Linked DNA regions of Ovis aries. The protein of the gene in region 1 purifies or fractionates together with the protein of each later gene. This does not show direct contact. Links are inferred from orthologs where the notes say so. Each region holds a gene or a part of one and is shown in the gene's direction. Other genes may lie near its edges. The genes, in order: JUN, COP1, CREB5, NFE2L2, cyclic AMP-dependent transcription factor ATF-7 and DHX9.

Region 1 (5,277 bases):
TAAATCTGGATAATAATATATTATATGTAGCTCAAGATAGTTGTGGGGGAGAAACAGCATATATAAATTGCTCTGGTGAAGGCCTGGTTGATAGTAGGTGTTTATTACATGACATCCATTTTTATTACTGTTATCATTAAAACTATTATTTAAAAAAAAAAAAACAGCATCTCCCTGATTACAAAAGAAAATGATTCAGGGCAACAATATAGGGGAAAATGTTCCTTCCTGGAGAAAAGTAACTAGATCTTGTCATCGCTGTATTCCCCACCCCCACCGCACTACCTGGCTGACAGTAGCCACTGTTTTCCCTGCTGCAGGAGGGAATGAGGGGCAAGTAAAGGAAGTAAAGGAAAGCTGTCAAGATGTCCCTAACACCAGCTGCTGCTGGGCTGCTGAATCTCAACTCTCAAAGCCACAAATACCTTAAAGCTCCGGGCTATGCAAGCTCAGAAGCTGAAAAGCCAGAATTAGGACCTAGGGACATAAACTGCTGCAGGTCCAACGTCAAACCACGGTCCTGGAGAAAACCCTGGAAGGAGCTGAGTTCTGACCCTTTCCTCCCTCACCCTCCTCACAGGTTAAATCCACCTGTTCCTGCCAAGTCACACTCATATCCTGGCATTCCATGGACGCTCCGGAAGCTCTGACCAAGGGCAGGGAAGGGGGCTGTTGGTGACCACCTCCTAGCCCTGGAGACAATGACTCTACACTAAGCCAGGCCTATGAGGTGGGTCTCACCAGCCCCACTTGCAGATGAAGAAACTCAGGGAAGTTCTCTGATTCGCTCCCTTCACATTGCGGCAGCGTTGGCCAGGAGAGAACCCACGACTCCAGACTTCGGTATTCTTTCCACCGTACACTTTCGTCCCTAAGGGGCGCGGGGTTGGGGGAGGAGAAGAATAACCACCACTGAAAAGGAACCACTTACATGGGTCTAGCGCTTCCTAGAGGCTACACAGGATATGGGCCCACCCCCCAGCCGGGAGCGGAGAAATTTTAAATCTTTATTCTACTCACTCGCTGCGTGACTTTTGGCAAGTGTCTGCTGCTCTCGGACTTGTTTTCCCGGAAGCAAATCGGGGCGGGAGGAGTGGCGTGTGCGTGTGTGTGTGTTTGTGTGTACATGTGATGTGCGGTGTGTCTATGCATGTTGTGCGGGGGCGGAGAGTAGACTATCACCGGGGTTCCCCGAGTTTCGGATTCTCCAAACGCTCGTTCAAACTAGACGCCGAGTTGCCCCTTAAATCCACCTCCTGTAAGAAACCTTTCCGAGGCAAAGATGCGAACCCCCGCACCCTTTCTCCCACGGTCGGGAGGGTGAGGTGGGAGTGCGGAGGGGACTTAGCCGAACACCCAGTTTCAAGCAATGCAAATCACTGGACTTCCAGACAGAGCCAGACAGTCGCTACTGAACTTGACCAGGAGACAAACTTCAGGGCATTCTCAACGTGGGGGGCCGACTCTCACGAACTGCCCCCAAATTTAAAAGCCACTTTCACTCGCCCCCACAGGGGACTTAACAGAGCCACCTTAAGGGCGGTGCTCCCGCCCCCCGGAAGTGCGGGGGGGCCAGGAACCCAGGCGCTCAACGGGCCCGGCCCGCCCCGAGCGGCGGCGAAGTGCCCGCGGGTGACATCGAACCCCCAAGTGGGGAAATACCACCCGCCCCGCGCCCTCGGCCCCAGACACCTGGCTCGGTTCCCCTGGCCTCCTGGGTCCTAGCATCCCTGGCATTCCCATCCGAGCCCTAAACTTCAGCCCACTTCCCTCAGAGGCTGGGAGCGCCGGAGTCCGCCCGGCTCGCGGCAGCCACCGTCACTAGACAGTCAAACCCCAAGACGTCAGCCCACAATGCACCGGGCGGGCCGGGAAAGACGCGTCGGGGAGGGAGGGGGAAGAGAGGGGCGCGAGTCGCGCGGAGCGGGTTGGGGGGAGGAGGAGAAAGAAGGGCCCAACTGTAGGAGGGCAACGGAGCATTACCTCATCCCGTGAGCCTCCGCGGGCCCAGAGAAGAATCTTCTAGGGTGGGGTCTCCATGGCGACGGGTGGGCCCGCCCCCCTGAGAGCGACGCGAGCCAATGGGAAGGCCTTGGGGTGACATCATGGGCTATTTTTAGGGGTTGACTGGTAGCAGATAAGTGTTGCGCTCCGGCTGGATAAGGGCTCAGAGTTGCACTGAGTGTGGCTGAAGCTGCGAGGCGGGAGTGGAGGTGCGCGGACGCAGGCAGGCAGACAGGCACAGTCAGTCGAGAAGGACAGCAAATCCTATTTTCCAATTTCTCTCCAACTGCCCGGAGCTAGCGCTTGTGGCTCCCGGCCTGGTGTTTTGGGGAGCGCCGGGAGAGCCCCTTCGCCAGCCGCCCCCAGGCGGAGAGCCCCGCTGCGCGGGCGCTGCTGACAGCGCGGAGAGCGGCCACTGTCCGCCCGGGGAAGTCCGGAGAGCGGCTGCAGCGGCAAGAACTTTCCCGGCCAGGAAGACAGGAGACAAGTGGCCGCCGGGTCCCGGAACGAACTTTTGCAAATCTTGCCTCCGCCCGAAGCTGCCGCGGCGGCGGTGAAGAAAAAGAGGCGGCGGAGAGAGGAGGACGTGCGCTCCGCTTCGCTCGCACCGGTTGCTGAACTTGGGCGAGCGCGAGCCGCGGCTGCCGGGCGCCCCCTCCCCCTCTCAGCGGAGGAGGGGACAGTCTTCCGAGTCGGGGCGGCGGACACCCGCCGCCGGCAGGCAAACGCGGGGTCCGCGCTCCCTGCTATCACCGGGAAGCGAGTTCGTCCGCGGGCTCTGAGGAACCGCTGCGCTCGAGAGAGCTCCGTGAGTGACCGCGACTTTTCAAAGCCGGGCGGCGCGCGCGAGCGGACAAGTAAGAGCGCGGGCGGCGTCTTAACCCTGCGATCCCCCGGACCGAGCTGGTGAGGAGGGCGCCGGGGGCGGGGGCTGCCAGCCGGCGGGGGCGCGCGCTCTTCCAGAAACTTTCCTTGCTCACTGCCCGGGGAGGCGCGGGTGTCCCCCGCTTGCCAGCGCGCTGTTGCGGCCCCGAAACTTCTGCGCGCAGCTTAAACTAAGCCCACGCGAAGTGACGGACTGTTCTATGACTGCAAAGATGGAAACGACCTTCTACGACGATGCCCTCAACGCCTCGTTCCTCCAGTCTGAGAGCGGCGCCTACGGCTACAGTAACCCCAAGATTCTGAAGCAGAGCATGACCCTGAATCTGGCCGACCCGGTGGGCAGCCTGAAGCCGCACCTCCGGGCCAAGAACTCCGACCTCCTCACCTCGCCCGACGTTGGGCTGCTCAAGCTGGCGTCGCCCGAGCTGGAGCGCCTGATCATACAGTCCAGCAACGGGCATATCACCACCACGCCGACCCCCACCCAGTTCCTGTGCCCCAAGAACGTGACGGACGAGCAGGAGGGATTCGCCGAGGGCTTCGTGCGCGCCCTGGCCGAACTGCACAGCCAGAACACGCTGCCCAGCGTCACGTCGGCGGCGCAGCCGGTCAGCGGGGCGGGCCTGGTGGCCCCGGCGGTGGCCTCGGTGGCGGGCGGCAGCGGCAGCGGCGGCTTCAGCGCCAGCCTGCACAGCGAGCCGCCGGTCTACGCCAACCTCAGCAACTTCAACCCCGGCGCGCTGAGCAGCGGCGGCGGGGCGCCCTCCTACGGCGCGGCTGGCCTGGCCTTTCCCGCGCAGCCCCAGCAGCAGCAGCAGCAACCACCGCAGCCGCCGCACCACCTGCCCCAGCAGATACCCGTGCAGCACCCGCGGCTGCAGGCCCTGAAGGAAGAGCCGCAGACGGTGCCCGAGATGCCCGGGGAAACGCCGCCCCTGTCCCCCATCGACATGGAGTCCCAGGAGCGGATCAAGGCGGAGAGGAAGCGCATGAGGAACCGCATCGCTGCTTCCAAGTGCCGGAAAAGGAAGCTGGAGAGGATCGCGCGGCTGGAGGAAAAAGTGAAAACCTTGAAAGCGCAGAACTCGGAGCTGGCGTCCACCGCCAATATGCTCAGGGAACAGGTGGCCCAGCTTAAACAAAAAGTCATGAACCACGTTAACAGCGGGTGCCAACTCATGCTAACGCAGCAGTTGCAAACGTTTTGAGGCGAGACTGTCGGGGGCTGAGGGGCAACGGAGAAAAAATATAAATAACACAGAGAGACAGATTTGAGAACTTGACAAGTTGCGAGAGAGAAACAGAGAAAAAAACAAAAGTGTCCGAGGACTAAAGCCAAGGGTATCCAAGTTGGACTGGGTTGCGTCCTGACGGCGCCCCCAGTGTGCACGAGTGGGAAGGACTTGGCGCGCCCTCCCTTGGCGAGGAGCCAGGGAACGGCCGCTCGCGGGCTGCCCGGGTTTGCGGACGGGCTGTCCCCGCGCAAACAGAACGTTAGACTTTTCTTTAACGTTGACCAAGAACTGCATGGACCTAACATTCGATCTCATTCAGTATTAAAGGGGTGGGGTGGGGGAGGGGGTTGCAAACTGCAATAGAGACTGTAGATCGCTTCTGTAGTACTCCTTAAGAACACAAAGGGGGTGGGGGAGGGGAGGCGGGAGGGAGGTTTGTGAGAGCGAGGCCCAGCCTGCAGATGAGCTCTTTCTGGCCTGCCTTCCATAACTGTGTATGTACATATATATATTTTTTAATTTGATGAAAGCTGATTACTGTCAATAAACAGCTTCATGCCTTTGTAAGTTATTCATGTTTGTTTGTTTGGGTGTCCTGCCCAGCCTTGTTTGTAAATAAGAGATTTGGAGCACTCTGAGTTTACCATTTGTAATAAAGTATATAATTTTTTTTATGTTTTGTTTCTGAAAATTCCAGAAAGGATATTTAAGAAAATACAATAAAATATTGAAAAAGTTACCCCTCCCCCAACCTCTTTTCTGCATTATCTATAGATTACTTGTCTAGGTGGAGTTGAAAGAGTTGAGTGTCAATTAAAATCACTGTGGGTGCTTCTTACTAGCAGGCCCTGAAAACTGTTGTCTGCTTGACTTGAGAAAGAACTGCAGCTGATGCTGTCATCAAGTTAATACTTTTCCCTCCCCAGCAATCTACATAGAGTTGCTTACCAAGGATAGTGTGCCATTTCAGGAAGATGAGCGAAGGGAGGTTGTGGTGGAGATGGACAGCCCACTGGGAAATCTAACATTTTAGTTTGGATTATATCAAGTGGCATGTGCTGTGACCATTTATAATGTTAGTAGAAATTTAAACAATAGATGCTTATTCTCAAAGCAGGAACGGTGGCAGATTTTTTACAAAAGCTGTATGCTT
Region 2 (4,483 bases), on another chromosome or scaffold:
AAAGGCTTTGTGTTCAAATGCTTGGAAATCACCTAGGTCAGCTGCTTTGCTTTCTAAGTGACTTTTTCTTTAATATACATTAGCTTTACTATATGTGTGATGCACATATATGTCTAACCAAAAGCATATATTTTTAGATGTTGCATTCTCAATATTGGAACATTTGAGAATAGCCGAAACTGTAAATGTTAGAAGTTTAATTCTGTTAAATGCATTTTATTGAAATTTGAGTCATGCACTTACATTAGTCAACATTTGCCTGTAAACACAGAGACTCAATTCAGACCAGTTTACTGGCTTATATGATCTGACAAAACTGGAAGTAGGGCCCTGAAGGGTCTGATTTGGTCTCTGCCATGACATACGTGTGCCCCCCGGCCCCTGTTATCTCCACCTACAGACATGTATTCCTCATGTGTCTCCGCCATGACATACGTGTGTCCCCCCGGCCTCTATTATCTCCACCTCCAGACATGCATTCCTCATGTGTCTCCGCCATGACATACACGTGCCCCCCCGGCCTCTATTATCTCCACCTACAGACATGTATTCCTCATGTGTCTCTGCCATGACATATGTGTGTCCCCCCCAGCCTCTGTTATCTCCACCTACAGACATGTATTCCTCATGTGTCTCTGCCATGACATACGCGTGCCCCCCCAGCCTCTATTATCTCCACCTACAGACATGTATTCCTCATGTGTCTCTGCCATGACATATGTGTGTCCCCCCGGCCCCTGTATCTCCACCTACAGACATGTATTCCTCATGTGTCTCTGCCATGACATATGTGTGTCCCCCTGGCCCCTGTATCTCCACCTACAGACATGTATTCCTCATGTGTCTCTGCCGTGACATACGCGTGCCCCCCCAGCCTCTATTATCTCCACCTACAGACATGTATTCCTCATGTGTCTCCACCATGACATATGTGTGTCCCCCCGGCCCCTGTATCTCTACCTACAGACATGTATTCATCATGTGTCTCTGCCATGACATACGCGTGCCCCCCCAGCCTCTATTATCTCCACCTACAGACATGTATTCCTCATGTGTCTCCACCATGACATATGTGTGCCCCCCTGGCCTCTGTTATCTCTACCTACAGACATGTATTCCTCATGTGTCTCTGCCATGACATACGTGTGCCCCCCTGGCCTCTGTTATCTCCACCTACAGACATGTATTTTCATGTGTCAAGGATGGCCAGTAGCAACTTTAGGCACACCATATCTGTCTTCTAGCTGGTGATGAGAGTGAAGAGTGGTTATGGTTTGTGACTTGGTAGTTTCAATTGAATACTCTGGGAATTATTTGATGCCTTCTTCCTTGATGGATTGTGGGCAAAATAATTATTGTGAACTTATGTAGACCATTTTGAAAGGGTTCTAATCTTTTTGAACACGTCCAAATTCTTTGTATCCATTGCTATTTATTTTTATGTAAAATAAGGCTTAACTTAATATCCCTTTCTTTCAGCTGTATCAGTTGGAGTAGTTATCATAAGAACCTATTAGCCAGCAGTGATTATGAAGGCACCGTCATCCTATGGGATGGATTCACAGGACAGAGGTCAAAGGTCTATCAGGTAAATAAGAATACTAGTTACCTGTGGTTGTTGTTACTATTCAGTCGCTCAGTCGTGTCCAACTCTTTGCGATCCCATGGACTGCAGCACACCAGATTCCCTGTCCATCACTATCTCCAGAGTTTGTTCAAACTCATGTCCATTGAGTCGATGATGCCATCTGACAATCTTATCTTCTGTCATCCCGTTTGCCTTTTGCCCTCAATCTTTCCCAGCATCAGAGTCTTTTCCAGTGAGTCAGCTCTTTGCATCAGGTAGCCAAAATATTGGAGCTTGTTGCAAGAATCACATTTGTACTTTTTAATAATTATAGAGCTTCATGCATTTTATAATTACAAATTTAAAATCATTGTTTAGCATTTCCTCAGTTCCTCAGTTCAAATGGCAACCCACTACAGTATTCTTGCCTGGGGAATCCCAGGGACGGGGGAGCCTGGTGGGCTGCCGTCAGTGGGGTCGCACAGAGTCTGACACAACTGAAGTAACTTAGCAGCAGCAGCAGCAGCAGTTCCTCAGGTCAGCCGCTCATTTATATCTGACACTTTGCGACCCCATGGACTGCAGCACCCCAGGCTTCCCTGTCCATCACCAACTCCCAGAGCTTGCTCAAACTCATGTCCATCGAGTCAGGGATGCCATCCAACCGTCTACCTATGTAATTCCAGTAATGCTCTTTGCATTTGTAGGATGAATTTCCAAAAGTGGTAATTTTATAAATGTATATTTAAAAAGTTTATGGAGCTACTTTGCATCTCCTTTATTTTCATAGCCAGTTCTTTCTCCCTCCCACCATAGTGATAAATTGGTATCAGCTATGTTTATTTGTTTTGCTTTATTTAAGATCTATATTCTGAGACTACTTTGTCTTCCTTCTACATCTAGGAACATGAGAAGAGATGTTGGAGTGTTGACTTTAATTTGATGGATCCTAAACTCTTGGCTTCAGGTTCTGATGATGCAAAAGGTACTATTTGGGTCTCCCCCCCGAATTAATTCCTTTTAAAACCTAACAGAAATACACATATTTATTGAAACCCATAGTGATCCTTTGCGATTACTGATTATTCTAAAAATAGTCTAATAAGCACAAAAATCTTTATTTCTTGGAGTGAAAGAAAAATGAATATTCTGCATCTTCATTATAATAATTTTTTCTGAATTCATGCCTGTGATGTATTTATAACCAGTTCCTGTACATATACTGTGAAATGAACTTTTTTGTTGAAATATTTAGACATCACTGTATTCTGAATTGTATTAAATTCTGAGTGTATACCAAAATCTTTGAATGAAGTAAATCATGTTTCAAGGCAGAAATTCTATATTTCTTTCTGCCAATTTCATTGATCTTTCTATTTTTGTGTATGTGTGTGTGTGTGGTGTGTGTATCTGTCTTTACTGTTTGTTCTTTCCCGTTACTGTCTTCTTTTGGCCTGTTTTTTCTCAAGATTAGATTTATAAAGCCCTGTTAACAGATTTCTTTTATCTTGGCCCTCTCCTTCCTTTCCATCTGTAACTTGCAGACTAGTGAATAGATAGGCAGGGGTAGCTCTAGCGTTGGAAACTTTATTTCACAATGATTGTTGTTGTTGTTCAGTCTCTCAGTTGTGTCCGACCCTTTGCGACCCCTTGGCCTGCAGCACACGAGGCTTCCCTATGCTTCACCATCTCCTGGAGCTTGCCCAAACTCATGTCCATTGGGTTGGTGATGCCATCCAACCATCTCATTCTCAGTTGTCCCCTTCTCCTCCTGCCTTCAATCTTGCCCAGTAATCAGGGTCTTATCTAATGAGTCGGCTCTTCACATCATGTGGCCCAAGTACTGGAGCTTCAGCTTCAGCATGAGTCCTTCCATTGAATATTCAGGACTGATTTCCTTTAAGATTGACTAGTTTGATCTTGCAGCCCAAGAGACTCCCAGGAGTCTTCTCCAACACCACATTTCAAAAGCATCAATTCTTCAGCTCTGCTTTCTTTATGGTCCAACTCTCACATCCATACATGACTACTGGAAAAACCATAGCTTTTACTAGACAGACCTTTGTTGGCAAAGTAATCTCTCTGCTTTTTAATATGCTTTCTATGTTTGTCATAGCTTTTCTTTTAGGGAGCAAGGGTCTTTTAATTTCATGGCTGCAGTCACCATCTGCAGTGATTTGGGGGTCTGAGAAAATAAAAATCTGTCACTGTTTGCATTGTTTACCCATCTGTGACTGGATGCCATGATCTTTGTTTTGGGAGTGTTGAGTTTTAAGTCAGCTTTTTCACTCTCTTGTTTCACCTTCTTTAGTTCCTCTTCGCTTTCTGCCATAAGGATGGTGTCATCTGCATATCTGAGGTTATTGGTATTTCTCCCCGCAATCTTGATTCCAGCTTGTGCTTCATCAAACCCAGCATTTCACATGATGTATTCTGCATGTAAGTTAAATAAGTAGAGTGACAGTCTACAGCCTTGACGTACTCCTTTCCCAGTTTGGAACCAGTCCTTTGTTCTATGTCCGGTTTTAACTGTTGCTTCTTGACCTGCATACAGGTTTTTCAGAAGGCAGATGAGACGGTCTGGTAGTCCCATCTCTTTAAGAATTTTCCATGGTTTGTTCTGATCTACACAATCAAAGGCTTTAGCGTAGTCAATGAAGCAGAAGTAGATGTTTTTCTGCAATTCTCTTGCTTTTTCTGTGATCCAGCGGGTGTTGGCAATTTGATCTCTGGTTCCTCTGCCTCTTCTAAATCCAGCTTGAACATTTGGGAGTTCTCAGTTCAGGTACTATTGAAGCCTAGCATGGAGAATTTTGAGCATTACTTTTGCTAGCATGTGAAATGAGTGCAATTGTGCAGTAGTTTGAATGATAGAGCTGTCCTATTCTATAAAAGAGAAATGACATGACTGGATTG
Region 3 (4,483 bases), on another chromosome or scaffold:
GGTTGGTGGATATTAATTGAATGATCATACTAAAAACTACAACTACACACTGAGTTTTACAAAGAGGAATATGGTTCTTCTGGGACTTTGTAACAATAGGAATTGGTTTAGAGCAGAGACCAGGGAGAATTTTACTAAAGAGGGTCCTGCTGCTTAAAGCTCTAGAGTGTCTGAGGAAAAGGAAAGATCGTCCCAGGCAAAAAGACAATGAGATGGAAGCGTTGGTGGGAGTGCCAGGCCACACTCCTCAGTGCCTATGCATAGGCTGTGTTAAGGGCTTGAACTTCATCCCCTGAACATTGAAAAGACCTAGAACAGTCATACACGTGAAGGTTAGGAAGTGGGGCCAGGGAGAAGATAGAACAGTCATATACCTGAAGGTTAGGAAGTGGGGCCAGGGAGAAAATATACCTGGACCTTGTCAGATCTGTGTTTGGGGGTGGAATATAAGTACCCATTCTTAATAAATATAACACAAGAGATGATGATGCTAAGCTCTGGATGGTCCTTTGCTGCAGTTGAGCTGCCTGGAGATTGTTACCTCCCCCCCCTTACCTCTGCCAAGTTTCAGAACAAGCAAGATACACTGGGTCTCCACTTGTGTGCTACACTGTGCAGAAATAATCTTGTCATTTTTTTTTCTGGGCACTTCTCTTCTTTTTGCATTTCCTTTTGATGATAGGGAGGTGGCACAATACAATTTTTTCCCATTTTTGACAAAGTGTGCATGGCAAGCCTTCCAGCTCCTTCTGTCCTGGTGTAGAGAACAGGTCTGGAGGTAGCTCACCTCTGCTCCTCTCCAGTGGCAAGAGCTTGGGCACATGGATTAGTCTGTCTTTGTGCCTTGCCGGATTGTTCTGAGGATTAAGTGAGTTAATATTCATACAACACAGAATGAGGAGTGGCCCAGAGTGAGTGCTCAATTGATGCCAGACATTATTATTAGCTATTATTGATAGGGCATGTTGTCAAAGATATATATTGTTGAAGTAGAAAAAAAGCAAGATACAAAATCATATATCATTATAAAGAGCTTACACAACACGTTCTGATAAATGCTGAGGATATGTCAGCAGATACTTGGTAGTTACATCTGAGGAATGGGGCTAAGAAAGAAGAAGGTAGGCAGGTGGCTTTTACTTTTTCACCACATAGTCTTGTAGTAGTGTGTTTTTTTTACTATGCAGCTTTATATTTTATAATAATAAAATTATAAAGAATAGTATAGAAAATCCATCAATACTATTTGGTATGTCAATTTCAAAATAATGATCTCAATATATTTTTTCATAATTTTCTTCACTTTGAAGTTTGAATGTATCACTTACAGAGTTTTCTTGGATTTAAGAAACATATATCTGAAGTCCAGCAATTCATCCAATTCTTGCTTCTTTTGCTTATGTTCTCTTCAAATAAGGGTTTGATCCCGCTGTTATGAAATGACTCGACTTGTTGCTCCATCTCTACAGAGAGAGCTGTCTGGAATACCATCCACCCACCAAATTTAAGCAATGCACTTGGTTCACTGGTTACTGACTTCACTGTACTTTTAAGTGTCACTTGAGTTTTTTATAATGAGCGTTTTTATAAAAACAATGAACTCATTTCTAAAGCTTGGAGGTGAGGAGTATCTGTTCACTTTTCTGTTTAGTAATAAACACAATACGCAGCACCTAATCTTTCCCAGGGATTCAGGAAGCCTAACTTCTTTAGGATACTGATGCAGTTCAGTAGCTCCTGTGTAGCAGATGTTGCTTGTGAAGGGGGAGGCAGTTGCGCTCAGTGGTTGCTGCATCAGATGCAGGAAATGTATTCAATGATTATTGAATATTAACATATGGTTTGTCAACCTCTACCTGGCCCTACCCCTGCCTGCCGGCCTGTTTTTTATGTGTTTTTTTTTTAAACAAGTGGAGGCTCTTTATATTTAAGTAAAGATTTTTATGGATTGAATTTATCCTTGTCAATAGTTTACTCTGCCCAGTTGAGAATCATTAATATTGCATAGGGCTGGCACATGGTAGCTTTGATCGTCATTTAAATACCGCTCTTCCATTTGCAGTGATTACAGGCTATCATCATCAATCAGATAAGAATGCAAATCAGGAGAGAACTTTGAGTTCCCTAGTAAATACTTCATGAGGCCAACATAAGCTTGCCAACTAGACTATCATCTCTGCAGAAGATACATTTCCAAGGAGTAACTGTATTATACAATACTTAGTACACTGTGCCCCTCAGGGTATGACGATAATTGTCTGGGTAAAAGACTGCAAACAACTTGACTACCAACTGATTCTTTACCACGGCCTAATTTTGCACAGCACAGGAGCTAAAAATGTTTGACATTTTAAAATGATTGAAAAAGAAAATCAAAAGTAGCATAGTATTTTGTGACATGTGGAAGTTATATGAAATTCATATATCCTGTCCCTAAGTAAAATTGTGTTGAAACATGGCATGGTCATATGTTTACAGAATGTCCATATCTGTTTTTGTGCTGAAAGGGCTGAGCTGAGTAGTTGTGAGAGACCTTAAGGCATGCAATGATGGAAATATTTACTATCTGACTTCTTTATTGAAAAGCTTGCTGACCCCTGCTTAGGGGTTAGATTCAGGGAGAATTTAATTGTGTAAATGTCTGTTTGCTTGTTGATGGTTGATGATTTTGTACCTGCCCTGTGGTATGGTCATCACAGAAGCTGTAGAAGTGCAATGGTCCATATTCTTTAACTTTAAAATCAGAAGAACATTATTGTGTGAGAAAATTAGATTATCAGAGGGATTATGAGAAGTGTCATAGGAACAAATGGAAAGATCTACATTGCCTCCCAAAGTTGTGGATTTCTAATCTAATTTGAAGACTTAAAATAATATTAAAATTGTTCCTAGATTCTGAAATTTGAAATTCTTTCCTCTTTGGGTCTGAGAAATCTTTTGAAAAGCAAAAATCTTTTATTCTTGAGACAGTGCCATTTCATATGGGCCTTTTGTTCACTGATATTGTCATATTGAATGATTCCATTGGGTTTATACTTGCACTTGGCTGTCAATAGGATATAGCGAACAATTGGATAGTAGGAAATACCTTTTAGTAAAGTGTCTAGGGTATCCTGCTCATTTGCAGTGTCAGTTGAATTAATTAACATTCCTGGCTGACATTGACACACTTACCTACTCTAATACATATGAAAATTTGAAATTTATATAAAAGCCATACTGCTACCCAGTAAGAAAAAAAATGTTAATAATAGTATCATTACATGTTCATGCTAAGTCCCCTCAGTTGTGACTCTTTGCAACCCCATGGACTGTAGCCCACTAAGCTCCTCTGTCTATGGGGATTATCCAGGCAAGAGTACTGGAATGGGTTTCCATTTTCTCCTCCAGGGGAATCTTCCTGACCCAGAGATCAAACTCACACCTCCTGTGCCTCCTGCATTGGCAGGCATATTCTTTACCACTTGAGCCACCCGGGAAGCTGCTAAATATTATAAACTTGAAACTATGAGTCATTTTGATTTGAGATCCCTGTTGTATACACAGCTGACTGTGTCCGTCCCCTCTCCTTTTGTTCTTTTCAGAGGCTGAAGGCTGCATTGACTCACCACCCTGCCGCCATGTCGAATGGGAATATGAACACCATGGGACACATGATGGAAATGATGGGCTCCCGGCAGGACCAGACGCCGCACCATCACATGCACTCACACCCTCACCAGCACCAGACACTGCCGGCCCACCACCCCTACCCGCACCAGCACCAGCACCCAGCGCACCACCCTCATCCTCAGCCCCATCACCAGCAGAACCACCCACATCATCACTCCCACTCCCACCTTCACGCACACCCAGCACACCACCAGACCTCGCCACACCCACCCCTGCACTCCGGCAACCAAGCACAGGTAGACCTTTTTCATTATCTCTTTCCCTCTTCTCATTAACAGTGCCGGCTCTAATGACGGGCTCGTTGGCAGCAACCTTACTTGACAAGCCCACGTGTTCTAACACTCTGAGGGACTCTGTTCATTTCCTAGGAGGTAATGGTTACCCATAGGACCCTCCCAGATCGCACTTTCCATAACTAATATGATAAATATCAAGTCTAGTTTCTAAGGGAAAAGGGAAACTTAAGTTCTCCAGAATCTATTTTTGTAGTATATTACAAAGTTAACCCTAAAACTGTAACACCAATGGAGGATTAGGAATTTAAGCATGTAATGAAAGAAGTGAATAAAGAACGAGGAAGGTAAGTTCATTCTAACCATGGTTCTAGCTGCAGTGCTTTATAACATCTTAGAGACCCACTTGTGTCACCTGTAAAATGGAAATTAAATACAGTGGGCAATCTTCTAAATAAGAGTAAATATTAAAAATATAAAGAGTAACAATTTCAGGCAGACAAAGGTTCGGTGATGGATGTTAGAGTGTAAGGTGCTTTGTGAATGTTGAAGAGAGATGACTCATCCCACCCAATGAG
Region 4 (5,283 bases), on another chromosome or scaffold:
GAGAAAACCCAGCATCCTGGAACTTCTCAGTGCACAGTATCTGTGCCTTCATGGCACTGCATTCAAGTTTAGAGGGCAAGGCCTCGTTTCTCACATGGATATGATCTTGGATCAGAGTTCTGCAAAGACCAGCAACCTCCTTGATGTGGGTGGTCTGAGACTGGGGTTTCCTCCTCTTGTGCTGAATCCCCATTTAATGCCAAACAGCTTTTTTTTAGCTGTTTCCTTAATTTTTCTTAAACATGTTCAGACTCTTATTGTATTGTCCTCCTCCCTTTGAAAATATGTACTCTGCAGGTGCCTGAAATAATATACTCCCAGTAATTGCAGTTTTGCAAAAGTAAAGTTTATTTTATTCAGTCTAAACTCAACGGAAATTTGTTGCCCAACAAGGAAATACCAAATTTTATAAGCCGCTGGAGGGCAGCCATCATGTCGTATATGACTTTGTTATTGCCTGCCTCCTGTGCTCTCTGTCTACCTTCTCCATGTACTAATTTTAATAAGTAACTTGAATTGTTAGCAATATACTCTGGTGCCATTCTTTGACACAGAAATGTCATTTCATAATGTCTCTGCATATTCCATGTCAGGTTCACTGTAAATCACTTCTCCTGAGCTTGTTGTTAGTGTGCAGATCATTTTGCAGCCTTCTCACTTAACAGCTGAAAGTTTAATTCAAATTGAAGAAACTTACTTCAATTACAGGCAATTAATTTAGGCTTCACTTACCTTAAGAAATATTCCAACATATAAATCAACAGGTAAGTCCTGGGAGGGTCAAATTACGCAACCAAGAGAAAGTAAGTTCTTTGCAGCTTTGGGGGCGTTGGTCTGCTGTAGTCAGGCTTTTATGGTTTTCTTTTTCTTTTTTTGGCGTCAGGTTTTTGAATGAAATAGTAAAACCAGTGCCAGACACTGTCTACTCCACCTGGTTTTGCATAATTCGAAGAAGTGATAAACTGAAAATCAGGCTTGTTAAAGAGCTAGAAAGAGTGCTGTTGCATAAGAGAAAACAAAACTAAACCATTTCTCTATTCTTTTTTAAATCATAAGATTTCACAATATTCCTGTTTTCAAGTACTTGAAGTTTGCTCTGGGCACTGACTACTTTTTAAATAATTGTTTTTAAGGTGCAGTGAATAATACACATTTATCGTAGATTTAAAACATACTTAAAGTAACAAAGAGATAAAAATCATTCAAGGTCCTGCAACTATTAATATTACTAGTAATATTTTGAAGAACTTTTTTTTTTCTAGGTACATGCTTTCACAGAACGGGTCCATACTACACAGTTTTATAACTTGTTTTTTGCGTTTTTGTTTTTAAAATCGTATCTTGAGTACGTGAAAACTTCTAGAGGTTATGACACGTTTGTAATATCGAACAGGGTTAAAAATCGCCATCTATGGTGTGGCGTGTGCACTCTGGTGGGAAGAGAATGCTCCGGATGGGCAAGCTCGACCACTCTCCGATCCAAAGAGACTTCTCCATTCGCCCTCGGGGACTGAAGCCTGGCCAGAGTGCAAGGCGTGGGAGTAAGTGGAGGGCGATCAGGGTGACCGAGCACGAGCTCCCCGCGCGGTCCACTCTTCCCCCGGGCCAGTCTCACTGGCTGAGCCGGAGCGAGAGGGCAGCTCGCCGTGAGCTGGGCCCAGGTCCCGGCTTCCGGCCCCCACCCCCCGGGCTGGCGCCACTCTCGGGCGGTGGGGAGAGAGAAAGCCGGGCAAGGTTCTGCAAATCCAAAGCAGGGAGGCGCAGCTCCGATACCATCGCCTTTGCCGAGTCTCCAAGCATGTTTGTTTCAACTGTTTAAACTGTTTCAAAGCACCCGAACCCCAGCGACCTTCGGCAAACAACTCAATCCCACGGGCGGGGAGCGATGGCCGTATTCGCTAGAAGGGCAAACTGACAGCGGAGGCAGGCGAGCTTCGGGGGCCTTCCTCCGGCACTCTGCCTGCCCGCAGCCGCCCCTGAGACCCCCGCCCGCAACTCTTTCCCGCCCCAGGACGGCCAGCTTCTTGCGTCAGCCCGGCGAGGGTGGGGGATTTTCGGAAGGTCGGCCCGGGCGGCTGGCTGGGGAAGGAAGGGCCTTGGGCTCTCGCCCCGCCCTCGCGGGGCGGGAGGCGGAGCGGGACAAGAGCCCGATCGGCGACTCCGGCCAAGTCAGGGAGAAGCGAGTTCCTAGGATCCCCCAGGAGCCGCCGCCGCCACCAGTACCGCCGTGTCCGCTCCAAGCCTCGGCAGCCGGAACAGGGCCGCCGTCGGGGAGCCTCAAAGCACCGTCCCCAGCTCAGCATGATGGACTTGGAGCTGCCCCCGCCGGGACTGCCGTCCCAGCAGGTGGTGCCAGGACGGGAGCAGGGGCGCGAGGGAGCCGCGGCCCGGGAGGGACAGCCGCATCGGCCTCTTTCCCCGTCTGTGGCCGGAGCGGACTGCAGCTGCCGCGCACACACCAGAGCCGCCGCGCTTGAGCTGGGGCCGGGGGAGGGGAGTGGCGACCCCAAGGGCTGCGAGGGGTATGGGGGCGCGGGGAATGGTGTGACTGACAACGCGCCCGCAGCCCCCGAGGGCGGTAGGGTTGGGGTTGGGGGGCTACGCCAGCGCGCGTGGGGGCGAAGTGCGTCTCTAACCGCGTCCCCGGTCGCCGGAGCCGAGATGCTGGAGCCGCGGCCGGCCCCCTCTCCGAGTTTGAGCGGCCGGGAGGCAACCGGGTAGGAGAGGGCGGACACTGGCGGTCTGAGCCGGCGCGGCCCGGCCCTTCCGGGGCTGCGCGGCTCCCCCGCCTCGGAGCCGGCAAAAATGTGCCTAGTCACGGGGCCACTCTCGGGGGAACTGAGGTCTCCGGGCTGGGACCCGGAACCCCTCCTCTGCCGCTGCTCCTCTGCTCAAGACCTCCGCGGGCGCGAGCCGCGGCGCTCTTACCCTGCTGAGGGTTCTCTTAGGCAGAGTGATCAATCACTCCAGCCTTGCGATCGCCCTGAGGCCGCTTGGCGAAAATGCCCAGCTCCCAGGGTGGGGGCAGGAGGAGGTCACCAAGCGCCCAGCGCACTCGGTTTCCCCGACGTACGGCGATCGAACCCTGCCCTGCGCGCCGCCTCGCCCCGAGGGAAGGGTTCGGGCTCTTAGAACTCTGAGTCGGCCCCTAGCAATACGCCGGCAAGGGCGGGTGGGGCGGTGGACTCTGAAGTCCGACGGGCCTTCGCCCCCCACCCCACCCCAGCTCCCCGGGGCTTCTCGATCCCGGCGCTGTGCTTCCCGGTGGCGCACGCCGCGAGCGTCGTCCCGGCGCCGTGACAGTGGCCGGTTGGCTGTCACGGCGGCCCTCAGTGGGCCCTTTCCTGCTTTGTAGCGTGCAAACCTTGCCGCGCCGGGGCCAAGGGACAAGTTGGAGCTGTTGATCTGTTGCGCAATTGTTATTTTCCCTAGGGCGGCTTTGTCTTTGGATTTAGCGTTTCGGAATTGCAATTCCAAAATGTGTAAGGCAGGATATTCTGTTCTCTGCTGTCAAGGGTAAGAATTTCGAGTGTAGATTAGCATTTCTGTTGTTTTTAGGCTGTTACTAAATGTTGCGCTTTCATACATTGTTTCTCTTTTGGGTGCTTTATGTAGTTTTCCTTTTCTGTTTGAGAATTTGCCTCAATTGCTTTCCTAGTATGTTGCTTTTGAGAGGGCAGAGGGTGGGACAGCTGTGTCTCATAAAACTTCGCTAACAAGTTCTGTAAATGTCGCAAATGTGGGAACAAGTTTCTGTGTATATTTTGTAGGGACTTTTTAAAGGAGTAGATAGTTTTATTTCCAATTTGTGCGTGTGAATGCGTTTTTTGGAAAAATATTTAGTTCAAGGAAATGTGTAACCTAATAGGAACGGTAAATATATTTAAGCTCTTAAACATCAAGCTTTAGACTAATCCTGAAGTAAGGTTTTGATATATTGACAATGTAGTGATTGTGCCTTTTTTTTCCCTTGGAAGCTGTTGTCTTGAACTTTCCCCCAGTAGTGATTAAGACTGTGTTCCTTCCTCCCCACGATATGAAGAAATAAATTGTGCTTTCCGATTCAGCTGCTGTTCAGTCCCTATAGCCATTTCTTTAATAATCTATATGACCAAAGGATATATGATGCTAATGGACTCTAGTTTTCCCAGATTCAGGAATGTAGCCTAGAGGGGTATATTACTGAAGTTTTTATTTCTTTCTTAACTATATAATTTACCATTCCATATACAAAAGTGGGTAAACATCTTTACTGCTTTTTCTTTTAAATGTGAACTTTCCAATTATGTTTGTTAAGGTAACTCCCTTTCCACCCTTTGTAATCAGACCTCAGTTTGCATATGCGAAGAGTATAAAAGAAAATGGAATAAAATTTAGAGTTAATGTCATGCCTGTAACTAAGATTCATATTAAATCTTTGTAGTCCAGGAAGATTTGGACAGAGTCATAAGTGGATTCTAACCTCTTGTCAAAGAAACACCAGGCAGGAGGTGGTACGGGGGTAAAAGTTCTTCCCCCTTTGTGCAAAGGAGGTGTTGATGAAGAGCAGTAGAGTTTTACATTCTGAATTTCCATTAGCTTCTGGAAGGAATCATCTACCCTTTTCAAAGCTGTCTTGGAGAAAGTATTTTTGCATATGAGGAATGAAGTTGATCTTGGACTAGGTAGGTAACTTCCAAAGAAAAATAAGGCCTCCCTCTCATCTCCAGAAGGTTGAGCAAAGAACAACTTGACTTTTTAGATATTTGGAAAAAAACCTCTTGAGAGATTGTGAAAGATTGTAGTAGGATAAAAACGTAACTCACATCAGTCTGCATTAAAAGTAGCATGGGCCATTTTGGACTCTTTCTTGTCAACTTGGGTTTTTATAAACAGTGCTGGGAGGGGAAACCCCAAAATCTGACTTTCTTTAGGATAATCAGGAAGAATTGAAAGCTAAATACACGAATTTTACTTACAGAGCTACATGAGAAAAAGAAACCTCTGTGGGCTAGAAGCACTTTTTTTTTCCCCGGGGAATTTCCTCTCTACTGGCGGAACACATTTAAAGGGGGGTTTGCGTAAATATTTCTTCTTTGATTTTTCCTTCATCTGGGGTTCACTCGTCAGTGCATATTCTTGGATTCAGGAGTTTGGCACTCAGATAATCGTAGATGAGTTATTGGACACTTACTTGTGTGCCAGGCGGTACGATAATTGCTTCACATGTATAATTTCACAGTCACCGTGTAGAAAATACTGTCTCCAGTTTCTAGGTGAGGAAAGAGGCATAAAGCAGCCAGG
Region 5 (5,264 bases), on another chromosome or scaffold:
CTCTTTAGTTCCTCTTCGCTTTCTGCCATTAGAGTGGTATCATCTGCATATCTGAGGTTACTGATATTTCTCCTGGCAATCTTGATTCCAACTTGTGATTCATTCAACCTGGCATTTCAGCATGATGTACACCACATAGATGTTAAATAAGCCAGGTGATAATATACAGCCTTGATGTACTTCTGTCCCAATTTTGAACCAATCCATTGTTCCATGTCCAGTTCTAACTATTGCTTCCTGACCTGCCTACAGGTTTCTCAGGAGGAAGATCAGTTGGTCTGGTATTCCCATCTCTTTAAGAATTTTCCACAGTTTGTTGTGATCCACATAGTTAAAGGCTTTAGCATAGTCAATGAAGCAGAAATAGATGTTTTTCTGGAATTCCCATGCTTTTTCTACGATCCAGTGGTTGTTGATCTCTGGTTCCTCTGCCTTTTCTAAATCTAGCTTGTACATCTGGAAGTTCTCGGTTCACTTACTGTTGAAGTCTAGCTTGAAGGATTTTGAGCATTACGTTGCTAGCATGTAAAATGAGCACAATTGTACAATAGGGAGAAATCACCTGGATTCTGTCTACATTTCAGAGGCTAGGAAGATAAATGAGATCCTAGGCATGAAGTTCAGAAATTTGTGTAATATAAAGCCGCAAAAGGAAGTTTGAGAGAAAACAGATTCCATAGGTAATATTTTTTGAGTTAACTCTCTTTATAATTACATAACATTTTAAAAGTTTTTTTTTTTTTTTTTTAGTTGTGGTTAAAAAAAACCAACACAAAAAAACTGCACAATATAAAATTTACCACCTTGGTAACAACATGAGAAAATTTTAAATATAGCCTTTACATTTGATGCCACAGCTGTCTCTTCATAGTTCAACTCAGTACAAAGGTTACTTCTTCAGTGAGGTCTCTCAATACAGAAGTAAAGTTGCTTTCCTACTCTTGGTCACTTTCTGTCTCATTACCTTAAAGCATTCTTCACTAACTGAAATATTTATGTTTATTAACTGTCTCCCCCTCCCCAGGGAAGGGCTTCCCAGGTGGCTCATGGTAAAGATTTCGCGGGTTCTAACCCTGGGTGGGGAAGATGCCCTGGAGAAGGAAATGGCAATCCACTCCAGTATTCTTGCCTGGGAAATTCCATGGACATAAGAGCCTGGAGGGCTACAGTCCATGTGGTCTCAAAGAGTCAGATGTGACTTAGTGACTAAACAACAACCTCCTCCCCGCTAAAACTGTAAATTCTACCGGAGTAGGGAACTGGTATGTCTACTCTTCTTCCATGCCTAGTTCTTTGCACACAGTATGTTCTAAGTATTTGTTTAAATACTTTCTGAGTAATAAGTATAGTGCCTTTTAATACCAAACAAGTTTCATATAGCTTATCTCATTTGATTATTACAACTCTGAGTAAAATCGGATTGTTGGCCCCACTATAAAGATACTCAAAAGAAAATGATAGAACTCTCCACCTCCATATACAGCAACACACAGAACAGAGACTATGGCTACGGTGATGCTATTCTAAGTGCCAAGAAGAAAATACAACTACTCGACTCCTTGGAACACTGAATCACCTTGTGTAGCTGTCTCGGGTTTTCCCCCAGTTTAAAAACGATTAAAAAAAAAAATTTTTTTTTTTTTTGGCCGTCCCGCAGGGCTTGCAGGATCTTTGTTCCATTCCCAAGGGTTGGAACCCGTGGCCCCTGCAGTGGAAGCGCGGAGTCCTCATCACTGGTAGGCCAGGGAATTCCCTTCCCCTGTTCTTTAAAAAAAAAACCAACCAGCTTTATTGAGGTATATAACCTTGTCTTGTTTTTAAAGTGCGCTCTTTTGTAATAATCTAATTCTCTAGTATGAGAATACTTTGGATCTCCATTACTACAGGCACCTGTAAGCATTCCTTCTTTTTCTTTTTTTCCCCTTACACTATGCAGTCGAACACGTGTGACCAGCGCCTCGGGAACTCGCTCTGCCTCCCACCCTAGCCCTGCCCACCGAAAGTCCCGCCCCTTCTTTTTCCGGAGCCCGGCCCCTCGGCTTCTTTCCGACCTGGCTCGGCGGATCTCGCCCTTCCTCCAACCCCTCTCTACATCTCGCGAGAAGTGAGAGCGCCTGGCCGGACGAGAGAAAAGTATCTGCTCCGCTGAGGGGGGAAAGAAGGAGCTGGAGATAGATTGTGGGACCGATCGCGGGCGGGCGGGAGGCGACGGAGCTACCAGAGGGTGAGTCCTGTTAACATTAACTAGTCCATGACCTGACGGGCGTCTCCCCGTCAACTCTGGTCAATCCCAGCGTCCCAGACCGGGGTCTCCCCTCCCAGTATGTGTTGGACGGGGGCGCTGAGGCGGTGGCCGGGCCCTGTCTGAGGAAGAGGGTGGGGCATGGGCTAAGGCCGACCAATAAGAGAGAAGGAAGCTACAATTGGCGGCGACGAGCACTAATGGGAGGTCATCTTTACCTTGCGGAGTGACGCCCCTCTTCTCTCCCTCCTCCCGCCTCCTTCCTTTGGGGGGGGAAGGCGGGGCCAGAGGCCTGAAGTGTGGGGAGAACTTGGGGTAAGTAGCCCCGGGGGGCACAGGGCGTGGCAAGGAGAGGGGAGTTGAATCCTGAGGGAATGGAAGTCTAGTGGAGCCTGGAATGGGGTGGAATGGGAGAAAGGGGAAGGGTACTAAACTGGTTGAAGACGCTGGACTTCTCCAAAGAGTGGGGTTAGAGGCTTGGCATTGGAAGAGTTAGTGGTAATAGGCAGGAGGTAGGGTTGAGTAGGTGAAAACATAGCATTTGGTTTTGCTGGGAAGATAGGGAGGAATAAGTGTAAGTGAGAGCGTGGCATTTCGATTGAATTATAAGAAAAACTATCAGGGACAAGATATCAGAGGAAAAGTATGGGCATGAAGAAAATTAAGTGAATGAGTTTAGGAAGATTTAATAGGGGTGGGTGTAGTGGCCAAAAGGCATCACTTTGGGTAGGGTATGGGGGAATCCAGAGGGGTAGGAGAGGTATTTGGTTGGGAGACGGTTGATAATGGACAGGTGTTTAGCTTAGGTATCAGAAGAAGTCTGAGAAGTGATTTTAGAGCTTTTGGTGAATATGGCATCCAGTCTGGTAACCAGCCTGCAAGAAAGCTAGGATAGTGGTAAAGAGAAAAACAGAACACTTTCATCACTTCTACTCTGATTTCCTTTCTCCGTCTCTTCCTCTTCCCGACTTCATCTGTTCCTCAGCTCAGGGATGGGGGCTTGGGACTTCAGTGGCCAAGTCAAAGCCCCATCGGGAGTTATATGTTGCTCTGAATTGCTTGTTATGTTCTCTGACTGGGGTGTTTACTGCCCAGGGCACCTCCTACCCAGATTCCCGCGTTGCTACTTTCCTGACTGTAAAGTTTGTTTTCTACTTACCAGAGGGTGTTTTAGTACCTCTGAGGGTTGTGTCATAGTAAGTGTAGTTTTGTGGGGGTATGCAGAGTTTTCTCCACAATCTCACTTGATTCCTATGTTTAAAAACTTTGCAGTAGTGTAATCAATTCTTGCAGAGACATCGGTTTTTTAGGTATTCTAAGCACAGAAAAATGTACTATACTGGTTTGTTTTGTTAATTGTTTCTTTCCCACTTGAGTTGCTAAATGGATGGTTGCAGTTAGTTTTAGCTAGCTTATGTGTGGTTTTTTTTTAAGTGGTGTAAATAAAATGGACACGTATTTCAGGAAAGTGAAAAATTTTCAGTTTCTTCTTTTGTGTCCAGATCAGAAAGCTAAAGATATGTCATAATATCTTGGGGGCAAGGGTTGGGGAAATCAAACACAATTTGTGCTTAAACATGGAGGATATAAGGTAAGTGGAGACTATTGCGAAATGTAACATGTCAGTAATAAAAGAAGCTAAAGAAAAGTCTGGCAGCTATACTAAGTAGTCTTACCAGTTCTTAATTCTGTACAAAAAAGGGACAAGTCTTTGCCCTTTGTTTGATATTTGTTTATTATTTAATAATGAGCTAGTATAGTCCATTAATAACTTCTTTGCTGTTGCATAAATTTGTCTTTTACATTCCTTTTCTTCTTTTACTTTTGGAAGCAAAATGACATCTGAAATACTAGCAACGGTGTTGTATGAAGAGAAACCAGAGTGTGTTGCTTCGTATTAACTTTTGGTTTTCAGCAACCATTTATCCTCCTGGCCAGGAACTTACCCCTACAGCACATTGAGACTAATTAATTACTGTCCTTATAGCATTAACTACTTAATTGGGTTCCAGTATTTCACATTCAGAGCATTGCTATTGGATATTCAGACATTTTCACAGTTTGCCTGGCAGTAGCACAAAGAAATATCCAGTGAGAGGGCAAAGTTCCTTGTTTTATTCTTCCATTCTAGAATTTGTGATGGCTTTGACTTGAGCACTGTCTCGTTAGTGTTACCACCTAGCAGAAGGCTAGAGAATAATAAACACTGCTCATCTTTAAACTTGTGGATCAAAGGGTACAACCTGTGATAGTTTCAGTGTTGTAACTTTTAAGCATTTTTGCTTACCATGGCTTTAAAATGTTGATAGATACCGTTGTATATCTCCGTTCTCTTCCCCGTCCCTTTCCTCTCCCTCTTTCTTCGCCTTTCCTTTCTTACTTTCAGTTCAAAATTAAATTTGTTTTTTCAACCAACTCTCAAACTGCTGCTTTAAGTCCCTGGCTCTGCCTGAACACAGCTGCTCTGAAATTCTCACAAGTTATTGTTTTGTACACGTCAAGAATGAGTTTTTCCTAGGCTGCAGTTGAAGGGAGTCAGTGATACAGCAGCCTCCTATCCATGTCTGAGAGGAGGAACCTTTTTGAAAGGAAGTTTTAGGTGGAGCAAATAGTATTGCCATATAAATGTCTAATAAAAACAGCTCTCTTTTTGAAACTAGTTGGCAGGCTGGCATACAGTTGTCCCTTATCCCATGATAAAGGTACATAAGTTAAGGTGCATGTGTTGTTTCTTTGAGAAAAACAAATGCAGCATTCATTTAAAAAGAAAAACATTATTTCTTTTGTTGTTGGTTTCTCTGATTGTGGTACTGTGATTTTAGAGTTCATGGGAGAAAGTCTTCCATTTCCAGAAACATGACAAAATGATTTTTAATATTCTCATTTTTGAATGTTGCCTTCCCCTAGCAGGCCTATTTTTAGGATCAAGTATATTCTTGAAATGTGGAAATACATCATTTTTGAATGTTTGGTGGATGATCTTTTAACTTCTGAATGCTGTAAGGAAGCGATCTCTACTTCA
Region 6 (4,483 bases), on another chromosome or scaffold:
TGAAGGGAAGCGACTGGGTTATATCCATCGAAATTTTGCTGGAAACCGATTTTCTGATCATGTGGCCCTTTTATCAGTATTCCAGGCTTGGGATGATGCTAGGTATGGGCTTGAAAGACAAAGATTTGTAAGATTTGAATGAACTGTCTAGTTTGTAGTCTGTGTCTAGTTCTTTAGGCTTTGAGCATAACTTCTTAACCTGTTTGTTTAGAATGGGTGGAGAAGAAGCCGAGATACGTTTTTGTGAGCACAAAAGACTCAATATGGCAACACTAAGAATGACCTGGGAAGCCAAAGTTCAGCTCAAAGAGATTCTCATTAATTCTGGATTTCCAGAAGGTAAGATTCTCATATCTAAAGTACCTTAATATTAAACATTCACATTGACAGTCCCAGTATATTTTAGCTTTAAACATAAGGCTTTTGTTTTTTTTGTATTCCTAGCTATTTCTTAGTTTTTTGAACTCTGGTGATAATCAGTTTTTCACATTAATTGAATTTTTTTTAAGGATGCAAAAGGTTATAATGTTCAAATTACAGTTTTGTACACAGATGATGAATAGATGTTTTGAGAGTTGTGCTGCTTTAGGAGGTTTTGTTTTTATTGGATTGTAGTTGATTTACAGTGTTGTGTTAGGCTCTGCTGTACAGCAAAATGAGTCAGTTACACATCACTGTCTTTTTTTAGGTGGAAGGGTGTGTTTTTATTTCTGATCCATTTACTTTGTAAAAAAACAGGCCTAGCTTTTTGCACTTCTAGAATGAGCAGTTTGTTGAATTTACTTCAGGTAGTGGTTTCTGAAGTGATGTGTTAATTTGCTGATCTGTTCATTCTTAGGTGTGAAGTAAACTCTATTGCATTAAATTTTAATTGGCTTTGAGTAAGTTTTAATGGATAGCTAATCATAGAGGACTTTGATATCTGATATAGGAATAGTAATCCAACTGTTCATTTCTTGTGTGAATTTGAACAATTGTACTTCTCCAGCTAGATTGAGACAGAGTTAATTTTCTGAAATATTGAGAGTTGGAACACATAACCAGAAATAGCTAGTTGAGAGAGAGAAGGACTACCTTCTGGGCCATATCTAAATAACTAAACATTTTTCTTCTGTTGTAAACTGACTAAATTTGTACTTTCAAAAATCAAAGGAAAATAGGACATTTTTGTATGATAGACTCTTTACAAAATTCCTGAGATGCAGATATGACCTCCATTTTACAGGTTAGGCAGCTGGCCAGAGGTTTAAATTACTTGTCCACATTCATTCAGTTCAGAAGTTTATAAGACTGGTATACAGGCTTTTTGGAACAAAGTTTATCCACACTCTTACCATCATATTTTCCATGTGATGGCCTGGGCACAAAGCATTTTTTGGGTGAAAACAGCAGCGTTTTTCTAGTGTGTTCCTCTTGGTCATCTTCTGTAGAAGGAACAGCTTTTTAAGAGCAGCAGGTGAAATACTGGTCATACCGGTCTAGCTCTAATCTGAGAGGAGATGGTTAATTGGGGCATTTGTTTTTAAGTACTTCAAGCTTAGTTGTGTCTACAAAAGAAAACAGATGTTTTAATTTTACTAAAATTGTGAAGACTCAGCAAAATTTCTCCTTGCATTAATCTGAGTGCGAGAATGCTAAGAACAGAGGCAGTGAGATGGGTTATTTGAAAAAGAGAATGAGGGAGGAGTTAATTCTTATAATTGTCATTTAATTTTGGTAAATTCAATGTTAGAATTAGCCAGATACTTGATTTTTTTTTTTTACTCTCCTTCCTCTTTACAGAGTGTTTACTGACACAAGTGTTTACTAACACTGGACCAGACAATAATCTGGATGTTGTTATCTCTCTCCTGGCCTTTGGTGTGTACCCCAATGTGTGTTACCATAAGGAAAAGAGAAAGATTCTCACCACTGAAGGGCGTAATGCACTTATCCACAAGTCATCTGTTAATTGTCCTTTTAGCAGCCAAGACATGAAGTACCCATCTCCCTTCTTTGTATTTGGTGAAAAGGTAAGAAAAGGGAGGTTTAGAAAACTTCTACATTTAAAATCCAGATTACTTTATTAATGTGTAGTGGGGACATGGGTTTTAGTTCATTATTATTATATGGTAGTTGATTGACAGTTGGAATGTCAACTTTTTCCTCTTGCCTCTTTATCTTCAGATTCGAACTCGGGCCATCTCTGCTAAAGGCATGACCTTAGTCACCCCCTTGCAGCTGCTGCTTTTTGCCTCCAAGAAAGTTATGTCTGATGGACAGCTTGTGGTTGTAGACGACTGGTATGGATTTTCAGATGTGAACTCACCTGAATTCTTAGAATTGAAATGTACTGGAATTCAGCTGCTAATCTATTTGTGAAATATGGCAGAATTCGATGGCATAAACAATGTGTTGTGTAACACTGTCTTTTCTTAGAGGAGTATATCCTAGGCTTACGATTTGTAGCTGATAGTGAAGTCTCAAATTGATTATACTTGTAGAGGCAGATGCAGTAAATCAGGGGTGCCCACCCTCTGGGGTCTAAGGCCTGATGACCTGAGGCGGAGCTGATGTGGTAGTAATAGAAATTCAGTGCACAGTAAATGTAATGCACTTGAATCATCCCAAACCATCCCCACCACCACCCCAGTCTGGAAGAAGTTTCTTCCACAAAAATCGATTCCTGGTGCCAAAAAGGTTGGGGGCTGCTGCATTACTCATTGGAGCCCCATCCACCACCGTGAATACCATACTGAGGAGTTAAAATCTAATTGGAATTTGGATGCCTCTTTTTTTATGTACACTCCATATTGCTTAGAGACAAGTGGTGTCTGTGTAGTAAGCACTTGGCAGAATTGGACAGAACTTAATGGTTAGTAGTCTCTCATTTCATTCTTTTATTGGAGGCTGAAGTGATCTGTATGGCTAAGCGTACTTCACTTGGTAGACTTCATGGTTCACAACTCCTGCCAGTAGCTAGCAGTGAAGTTTAAGAAGTTGGTTTAACTTATTGTTACTCTTCATACCTGTGTTTGCTAAATCTAGGGCCATTACATTTGGAAAAGAAGTTAAATTTATCCCATCACTTGCCATGGGTGAAATTGGGAGATAATAGTCTTTTTCTGTGTGTACCTCCTCTCATTTTTAATCATTTTTCCCTAATTTAGGATAAGATTGCAAATATCTCATGAAGCTGCTGCCTGTATCACTGCTCTTCGAGCAGCCATGGAGGCTCTGGTTGTTGAAGTAACCAAACAGCCTGGTATCATCAGCCAGTTGGATCCTGTTAATGAACGTATGCTGAACACAATCCGCCAGATCTCTCGGCCCTCAGCTGCTGGTATCAACCTTATGATTGGCACTACACGGTGGGTACCACAGTAACTTTCTTTGAACTAAGCAGAAGAGACAGTAATCTTACTCTACATTTAGTTTATGGAGGCCTTGTTATTTAAGTTAAAATTATATACACATTCTAAATGAAGTTTAGTTCTGGTTAACACATTCAGAGAAAGAGTGTTAATGATATGTTACACCAGTGCATGCTAAAGATAGAGACCTTGGAAGTACATATGGAGTCCAGGATAGGTCCCATGACAGGAAAAAAAGCGACAGGCCCAACTGCTTTGCCATCTCTACAGGAAAAATGATGAGGGCTTAAATTGCTGCTGCTTCGAATGAAAAGCGTCAGAGTTTAATCTTTAAAGTGTTCTAATTGCCTCATTTTTTTTCACCTTTAAAAATTTTCTTTGCCCACTGCCTTTTACTCTCAAAATTTTTGATACCTGTAGAAAAGGCAGAACAGTAGTACAGTGAACTCTGTTAACTTAGGTTTCAATGATTGTCAGCATTTTGTGACACTTGCTTTGATACATATATATATTACACACATACTTTTGTTGAATCATTTGTGATTCAGTTGCAGGTGTTATGACATTTTACATTAGTATGCTTCATGTATCTTTTAAGAACATAGCTATAAGTCACACACAAAAATGTGTTAAAATAATAGTATCTAATATACAGTCATTAAAATTTGTCATTCAAAAATATTTTTCAATCTCCCCATCAAAAATCACTTAACTGCATTTGGTTTTAAAGTGTTAACTTACTATACAGAAATGCTGTGTGCTTTATGGATTCTGGCATTCCATTTTGGTTATAACTGAGTTAACTTTTCCTTTGAATTAATCAAACATAGTACTTAGCTGTGGCACACTGTGCTAAGTGCTTTTCTGATATTCGCTTGCTTTAATACTTGATCCACCTGTGATGTAGGTAGATCATTATCCCTTTTAATATAAATGAATAAACTAAGCACAGGGAAGTTAAAACCCAAGATCTTCCAGCTAGTGAATGGTAGAGTTGAATTCTCAAGCAGACAGGATGGCTCCTGAAATGGTGCTCTCATGACTGTGGTCTGCCCACAAGGTCAGTTGTATAGAACAATTGAGAAAGAATCTTCAGAAAGAAAGATGGAAAATACGTGTCCCAGGCATGG

The links.
Region 2: the proteins of JUN (region 1) and COP1 purify together in Homo sapiens (affinity purification with western blotting; 9 studies listed by BioGRID and IntAct, counting the BioPlex papers as one, with this or other methods). This does not show direct contact. The link is inferred for Ovis aries from reciprocal best matches to the Homo sapiens genes JUN and COP1.
Region 3: the proteins of JUN (region 1) and CREB5 purify together in Homo sapiens (affinity purification with mass spectrometry; 5 studies listed by BioGRID and IntAct, counting the BioPlex papers as one, with this or other methods). This does not show direct contact. The link is inferred for Ovis aries from reciprocal best matches to the Homo sapiens genes JUN and CREB5.
Region 4: the proteins of JUN (region 1) and NFE2L2 purify together in Homo sapiens (affinity purification with western blotting; 4 studies listed by BioGRID and IntAct, with this or other methods). This does not show direct contact. The link is inferred for Ovis aries from reciprocal best matches to the Homo sapiens genes JUN and NFE2L2.
Region 5: the proteins of JUN (region 1) and cyclic AMP-dependent transcription factor ATF-7 purify together in Homo sapiens (affinity purification with mass spectrometry; 3 studies listed by BioGRID and IntAct, with this or other methods). This does not show direct contact. The link is inferred for Ovis aries from reciprocal best matches to the Homo sapiens genes JUN and ATF7.
Region 6: the proteins of JUN (region 1) and DHX9 purify together in Homo sapiens (affinity purification with mass spectrometry; 3 studies listed by BioGRID and IntAct, with this or other methods). This does not show direct contact. The link is inferred for Ovis aries from reciprocal best matches to the Homo sapiens genes JUN and DHX9.

What each region holds. Positions count from the first base shown.
Region 1 is NC_056054.1:33,493,556-33,498,832, reverse strand, and holds JUN (transcription factor Jun), read left to right. Parts: upstream 1-2,169; 5' UTR 2,170-3,089; coding exon 3,090-4,097; 3' UTR 4,098-4,863; downstream 4,864-5,277. UniProt on the Homo sapiens protein: Transcription factor that recognizes and binds to the AP-1 consensus motif 5'-TGA[GC]TCA-3'.
Region 2 is NC_056065.1:56,630,150-56,634,632, reverse strand, and holds part of COP1 (E3 ubiquitin-protein ligase COP1), read left to right. Parts: intron 1-1,479; coding exon 1,480-1,588; intron 1,589-2,470; coding exon 2,471-2,552; intron 2,553-4,483. UniProt on the Homo sapiens protein: E3 ubiquitin-protein ligase that mediates ubiquitination and subsequent proteasomal degradation of target proteins.
Region 3 is NC_056057.1:68,888,941-68,893,423, reverse strand, and holds part of CREB5 (cyclic AMP-responsive element-binding protein 5), read left to right. Parts: intron 1-3,584; coding exon 3,585-3,908; intron 3,909-4,483. UniProt on the Homo sapiens protein: Binds to the cAMP response element and activates transcription.
Region 4 is NC_056055.1:132,851,083-132,856,365, forward strand, and holds the start of NFE2L2 (nuclear factor erythroid 2-related factor 2), read left to right. Parts: upstream 1-2,153; 5' UTR 2,154-2,301; coding exon 2,302-2,346; exon of another isoform or gene 2,347-2,696; intron 2,697-2,831; exon of another isoform or gene 2,832-3,069; intron 3,070-3,486; exon of another isoform or gene 3,487-3,516; intron 3,517-5,283.
Region 5 is NC_056056.1:132,902,590-132,907,853, forward strand, and holds the start of cyclic AMP-dependent transcription factor ATF-7, read left to right. Parts: upstream 1-2,120; 5' UTR 2,121-5,264. UniProt on the Homo sapiens protein: Stress-responsive chromatin regulator that plays a role in various biological processes including innate immunological memory, adipocyte differentiation or telomerase regulation.
Region 6 is NC_056065.1:63,382,360-63,386,842, forward strand, and holds part of DHX9 (ATP-dependent RNA helicase A), read left to right. Parts: coding exon 1-102; intron 103-211; coding exon 212-339; intron 340-1,782; coding exon 1,783-2,012; intron 2,013-2,166; coding exon 2,167-2,282; intron 2,283-3,149; coding exon 3,150-3,350; intron 3,351-4,483. UniProt on the Homo sapiens protein: Multifunctional ATP-dependent nucleic acid helicase that unwinds DNA and RNA in a 3' to 5' direction and that plays important roles in many processes, such as DNA replication, transcriptional activation, post-transcriptional RNA regulation, mRNA translation and RNA-mediated gene silencing.